2 linked regions of the Tribolium castaneum genome follow. The protein of the gene in region 1 interacts with the protein of each later gene in a pairwise test. Links are inferred from orthologs where the notes say so. Each region holds a gene or a part of one and is shown in the gene's direction. Other genes may lie near its edges.

Region 1 (4,004 bases):
ATAAATTACACGCGGCTGTGGAGCGCCCCAACTGGTTGAGGAGTCTCACGGCCCGGCGGGCGGCCCGCAAGCCCCCTTGTTGTGACTTGTCTGGATTAACTTCCAGTTCTTTCATCAGAACTTCGGTTAAGTGGTTACGCCTTTGCTCGACTTTTAATTGGATGTCGAGGATCACGTGGTCCGGTTGGCCACTAGTGGCAACAAATTGCGTGATGTAGTCTTTCGATTTTTGGAGGAAAGTTAGAGCGTCCTCAAAGTGTCTTTGGGCAACGCAAACGTCTAACTCTTCGGGGATTTCCAGAAACCAGTCCGGGTGTACTGTCCCGACCTCGTCCTCAATTTCCTCAAAAGCTATAGTGGGGTAAATAGGGGAAAAGTGACAGTGGTGCCGACTTACGGTTGAGGCTAGGGGAATCGATTGAGGCGGACCGAGACGGCGATTTTTCCACGATTGATTCGCGTTTTTGTTGGTCTTGGGTGAGACGGGCTTTTTTGGCCTGGTCGAACTTATCCAACCACTCTTTCTACGATTTTTTTTTGTAAACTTGTGCAAACTAAATTTTCGCAATACCTTATTTGAGCCAGAAGTGCATTGGAAAACACGAGTGTCGGGAAAAATCAATAGTTTGAATTGGTGTTTGTTGTTACCAATTTCCCGCACATTTACTACCGCGAGACTACCTAACTCGTACATTACCTCAAAAACATATTTCATTAAACCCCGGCTATTATTATTTCTGCAAGTAGTCATAAAGCCGTCTGTAAATAAATAAGCATGGACCGTTTTGATGATGTGATTATCGAGAGGGTCAACTTCTAAAAGATCCCCTTCGTGTAAATAAGTCCTTCCAGGGACTTCCAACAATTCCTAAACCAGTCATACCAATAGTAACAAAAATTCGCCAAAAAATGGCACTTTACCTTACAACCCTCAACTTTTTCTAAAATTGAGGCTAATTTCTGTCGGTTTTCGTCACCTTGGTCTTTGGGATTGTCCCTATTTTCCATTTCTGTGATAACTGGAGTTTCTTCGCCCAAAATCGAAGTTGTTGATAAGGCACCTAATAAGGATTTTTGTTCAGATAAAAGGTGTGACAATTGATACATTTCACTCTCCAAGTCTACAAAAAACAGTCAGACTTATAACTAAGTAAAAATTAAAAAAATACGAGATATTTCTTTAGCAGTGTCAATAAACTGGGTGTAATTGCGGTACACATTTTGCTTCAAATTGTTGTTGGTGTCCTCAGACAGTGACTGAATTCTTTTACGGAGGCGTCGCAATTCGGGGCCCCCCACACAACTTTGAGACAATTCCCTAACATCTAAAAGAACCTAATTATCACCAAGTGATTACGTCTTATTAATTATGTTACATTTTCCCGCATCAAACTCCTTCGAGCTAAATAAACTTAAAGTCGGTTCTTTTGTGGGCTCCATGGTGTAAAAAATAATTATTTATTTGATAATAAAGTTTTTTCTAACACAAAAAGGGAGGCGGTGCCATTTCCTATAACCTCAATGGTTTGACAAGTAATTTGTCAATAGATCTGGCGTTGTGAGCGAACATTAGAGTGAGCCACGCAAGTGGTCGACATGTACGTGTGGGTTATCGTTTGTAACTTGTTTGTGTGATTGTCATTTGCGGTTCTTTGCACATTATCGTTGGTTAGGGACGCTTGTTATCGGCAACTGCGTCGTAAAACTGTCAAATCAAAAGTGTCAAACCTAAAAACAGTGTTATAATTACAATCAAATTAATTAATAATGGCAGCGGAAATCAAGCCAGCAACCCAAGCAAACGACAAATTCTGCACAACGAAAAAGCCCGCCCTTTTGGCAAAACTGGAAGGTTGTAGCGACGAAATAAACGCCGCCGTTTTGATCCCGGGCGAAGATGGGGTTATAAGTGTGTCAGATGACAAGTAAGTCGCTCCCAAACCCGGTCTTTACGCCTCATTTTTGTGATTTAGAACGGTACGTGTTTGGTTGAAGCGAGACTCAGGCCAGTACTGGCCCAGCATTTGCCAGTACATGCCCAGTGGGGCCACTTCGGTCTTTTACACAGTTGAAACCCGGCAACTTTTCATAGGACAGGAAAACGGGACCGTGTCAGAATTCTCGCTGGCATCAGACTTCAACCGAATGATGCCAGTGCGGGAGTACCTAGCACATCAGGCAAGAGTCACCGAAATTATTTTTGCCATCAACTGCGAATGGGTTCTGAGCGTGAGCAGGGATAAAGTGTTTTCGTACAATTGCACACAAACCGGCCGCAACATTGGGACTTACACGGCTGAGGCCTGGTGCACCTCTCTACAGTACTAATTTTTTGCGGAAAATTTTCGAGTCATGTCTTTAATTTTTGCAGATTTGATGCACAAACCAAACATGCGTTTGTTGGGGATTATTCTGGTCAAATAACTATGTTAAAATTGGATAATGCGGGCCCTAGTGTTATCACAACTTTGAAGGGGCACTCGGGCTCTGTTAGGTCACTGGCTTGGGACAGCGAGCGGCAGATGTTATTTAGTGGCTCCTACGACCAAACTGTTATCGTTTGGGACATAGGGGGGCAACAGGGCAACGCCTACGAGCTGCAAGGTCACCACAACAAGGTAAACATTGTTTATTACAACCGCAGTTGGATTTTTTCCGAAGCAAAGATAATTGTTTATTGGTTACGTAGGTCAAGGTTTGTTTTTTGTTGGCGATCGGCATTTGAAATTAAATTGGCAACAGTGCCAAAAATTACCAAAATTGTGGAAACAAGTGAATGTGATATTACAGGTCTCTGCTTTGTGCTACCTTAACTCGACCAAACAATTGGTCAGCGCGGGCGAGGACGGGGTGCTGGTCTTCTGGGACATGAACCAAACGCGTCAGGAGACTCCCGAGTGGATCGAGTCCGATTTATGTCAGTTGTGTGGAAGACCGTTCTTTTGGAACTTCCGAGCCATGATGGACCAGCGACAGTTGGGTTTACGGCAACACCACTGCAGACATTGCGGGAAAGCAGTTTGCGAGAAATGTTCCACAGGTAGATTAACAATTCCAGCGATGGGTTTCGAGTTCGCAGTGCGTGTCTGTGACCCTTGTCACCACTTGTTAAGGGATAGAGAGTGAGTTGCAAGTGGTGAAGTTATGTCTTGCTAAAGTTTTTTACAGGAGGGTGTCTTTAGCCACATTCCATGATGCTAAGCATAGTATTACAGCGATGGGATTGGACGAGACTCGCAAAAAATTGGTAACAGTCGGACAGGACCGGCTAATCAAAATTTGGGACATTTCCGCTTTGCTTTGAATCCGACTGGTTTAGTTACTAACGCTGGAATGTGATTCACACTCAATTAATTAATGTGCTATGATTTATTACATTATGTAAAATTTAAATATTATTAATGTTATATTTATATTCTATAAGTTCTATTGAAAATAAATCTATTATAATCACAGAATTGCGCCTCATTTGTGCTATTTTTGAACCCAAGTGTGCGAACAAGTGACATGATTCCATGAACGGATGGTAATCTGTGGTGACGTCAAATTTACAGGAACCTGCTTTCGGTCCGATTGTTGTCAGTTTTTTTCGAACAAACAATTGTTCGTTGTGATTTTTTCTCCCCCACACGATTAAATCAATTAAGTGCACTCTTCTTCATGATCCTTTAATACTTTGGTTCTTTAATGTTGTTGTTATGCGGCATGTGTTGGTGTTTTCGTCGTGCGTGCCACTCGAGTTGGCACCACTGGTAAACAAAACAAGCGCATATGCCAATTTTTGGCCCCCTTTTTGCCTTGAAAAATGTCCAAAAACGCTGAAAATGACTTATACGGAACGAATTTATCCGTCGAATCTATGAAGGTAATAGCCGAAAGCATCGGAATTGGAAATTTGCCCGACGACGCTGCAAAGGAACTAGCTGAAGACATCTCATTTAAACTGAAACACATCATTCAAGACGCTGCGAAGTTCGTCCACCATGCCAAACGAACAAAACTGA
Region 2 (2,958 bases), on another chromosome or scaffold:
GTGAAACAACACGTAAACAAAAATAAGAGATTGAGAGAACATATAGACGAATAAACGTAAAGCGGAGCATAAAACTGAGAGAAATAAGAAAGTAATGCGGCAAAAGGCGCAAATTGTAAACGTAAGAGCATATCCTAATAAAGGCAAAATACCTTCTGTTTTGAGAGAAAAAGAAATGAACGTAAAGGTGAAACATAACTTCAAACTTTAGCGTTGAATCCTTAGATGACTTACTTCTTAAATTATAAAAAAAATAAACGAAAATATTAAATTTATCTCTAAAAATTTTTAGTTAACTGAGTTTGTTTAGTGAAGTCCCAAAACACATTGTTAATAAAAATCATGGCCCCCTACTACTTGTCTTTGTCGCACACTTGGTTTAACTCTGTCGTCTCCTTTAGCCCTAATAATTATGTATTATTAATAAATTAATATCAATAGTAAAAGACAAAATTGTCAGAAGATTGTATATTTTGTATTACCAGAAAGTATAGTTTAATTATTAACCAAAGAAGGTTTTGGAAAATTTATAAACTATCCAACTAAATTTTATCTGTCAAGTAAATTAGCCAAGATTCTTAGGTAGTTTGTAAACAAGCCACCATTTTAGTTGAAACTGCGTTTCGTATTAAAATAATCAATGCTTTGGCTAGTTTACAAACTAAACAGCTAGTTTAAAAACTAGCCAAATTTACACATTAGCAGCAACATATATGCATGAAGATCAGTTAATTTCCGGGTAAATTGTCAATTTTTAAACAATTACGCTATTCTTATACCATTGTATAAGATACATCTTATTCAATGCTTATTTATATATATAGTACTTACGTCAGGCACTGACTCTTAACTCTTCCGAGTTAACTGATTTCAGTTCGTAGATTCGTTGAAGTATCACTACTTTAACTACACAAATTCAAAAAGCACTTATTTAGTTATACATAAAAACACTCACAACAAAACAAAAGCACATATTCTACAGACGAAACAGACTCTCATGTTCACTGTACAGTATTGCTAAAATTGCAAGACGGACCAAAGTCGCCTGACACCTGAGTAGACCAATCAGGGTGCTAGTATCACAGCGCGTAATTTAAAATTAATAATGTATTCACTTGCAAACACACATTGGAAATTAGCGTTAAATCTAAATTTACCAAATGTTTTAAGACAAAAAAAAAATATTTTGCATGTGTTCCAAGTATAACAATCCTAAAACCCCTTCACATTCGACAAAGTACGCATTGGCTCCGCCCACCGAAGTCCATCTTCAACTTCACAAACTCTAGCATTCCTAACAGCCCTCGTGAAATCCCGAAAGCACGAAAGTCGCAATTGCCCGATTTCTGGCACAGTGCAAATGTCAAGCCCATGATGCAAAACTCTAAATAAAACTATTACTCAATAAAATCAGTGAAAATGAATAAAGTGTCGGAATTCGAAATAGCCCCCTTGCGGTCTTTGGACGACTTTCTCCTCGAGTCAGCCCGGTTCCAAATCCCGAACGTCAACGACTTGGAAAAATGGGGTAAAAGAGTCTCCAGCAACTTGCTCTACTACCAAAGCAACTATTTCTTAATGTCACTTATAATCTTCGTCATTGTCGGGTAAGGCGCCCCCAGCCCTCGACCCCAGTTAACGAAACCCCTTCCAGCGTCATCCACCCCACGAAAATGGCCTGTGGGTTCGTGGTCACCGCGGTCATTTTCATGGTGTTTTCCTACATCACCAACGAACGCTTCGCTGCAGCTCAATTCAAAAAGAAACACCCGATTGTCTCACTGTTGCTCATTTTGGCGGGCTGCTACTTCGTCGCCTACATGCTGAAGTCCCTCCTGGTTTTTTTATTCGGGATTTTGCTCCCGATTTCAGGTAGAACAACTTGCCCCCAAATTGAAAATTAATCACTTGTTACAGCCACCTTCATTCACTCGTCTTTACGACTGAGGAACATTAAGAACAAAATCGTCAATCGCGTCGAAAATCTGGGGCTAAAGCGGACCCCCATGGGGATTTTTCTTGAGCAACTTGGGCTTGATCAAGAGGGGTTCTAACCGCGTCAAGTGGCTGAACAAACTTAAACATTTTATCGAAAAAATCCAAACGTTCGTTAAGCGTCTGTTCACGAAGAAAAATGCACCCAAAAAGTGATTCCCACATGCCCTACTCTATTTTTTCATTGCATGGCATTATTATTTCTATTAGTAGTTGTAGTGTTTTTATTTGCATAAGAATTTTAATATATTGTTATGTATTGTTTTAATGTGATATTCTTACCAATGTGTATACGCGCTATCAGTGTGACGTAGACATTTGAGGTAGGTCAGCACCTTAAAGCTAAACAATCGCCATTTTCAATGCTTTTCTTATGGGCATTTAAAAGTTTTTCGTATTTCTTTAATGCTAGAAGTGTAGGAACATTACTTTTACAGAGAAATGATAGCTATGAAAAATGCAATGTCGTTTCTTAAAGATTTTAGCAACTGAGCTAATATTTCTGTAAGTTGAACACATAAATCCTTTTCTAACCTAACTTTTTTCAAACTTCAAAATTCAGTTTTTCTTAATTTGGACATCATATTGATGTAAATTATTATGTGGCCTTTTAAAACTGAGGGAAAAATGGTTTGCCACACTAATGACATTGGATTTCTTCTGAATGACGAATTCATGGGGTGCAACCGGCGCAACCCCAATAAACGGGTTGTTTTCTGTCCCCCTCCCCCATCACGAGGGATGAATAGCAGGTATACGAGGGTAGAGGGTTCAGGCACATACATGGTTGAAAGTAGTACGGGTTGTGAGTTCTGTGCTTCTTTCGTGAGTGTCTTTTGTTATCGTGTTTTTTCCGATCGTTCTCCATATCTTCGTGTTCTTGAATTTTTAAAATTCTGTTTTTCCAAGACATTATCTCATTTTTGTGGTACATCATTAGGTATGATTTGTGAATAATATTTT

What was found. The genes of interacting proteins can lie anywhere in the genome.
Region 2: the proteins of Wdfy2 (region 1) and Jwa interact in a two-hybrid assay, tested with the Caenorhabditis elegans proteins (2 studies listed by BioGRID). The link is inferred for Tribolium castaneum from reciprocal best matches to the Caenorhabditis elegans genes wdfy-2 and praf-3.

The regions. Positions count from the first base shown.
Region 1 is NC_087398.1:812,518-816,521, forward strand, and holds Wdfy2 (WD repeat and FYVE domain-containing protein 2), read left to right. Parts: upstream 1-1,677; 5' UTR 1,678-1,767; coding exon 1,768-1,925; intron 1,926-1,973; coding exon 1,974-2,321; intron 2,322-2,371; coding exon 2,372-2,618; intron 2,619-2,790; coding exon 2,791-3,122; intron 3,123-3,168; coding exon 3,169-3,304; 3' UTR 3,305-3,458; downstream 3,459-4,004. Other genes in the region: Exo84 (exocyst complex component 8), read right to left, coding at 1-351, 398-524, 572-868, 922-1,121, 1,170-1,325, 1,377-1,440; Taf6 (transcription initiation factor TFIID subunit 6), read left to right, coding at 3,806-4,004. UniProt on the Caenorhabditis elegans protein: Plays a role in coelomocyte endocytosis.
Region 2 is NC_087403.1:1,986,027-1,988,984, reverse strand, and holds Jwa (PRA1 family protein 3), read left to right. Parts: upstream 1-1,314; 5' UTR 1,315-1,419; coding exon 1,420-1,607; intron 1,608-1,654; coding exon 1,655-1,872; intron 1,873-1,917; coding exon 1,918-2,054; 3' UTR 2,055-2,259; downstream 2,260-2,958. Other genes in the region: uncharacterized protein LOC135267207, read left to right, coding at 2,596-2,935.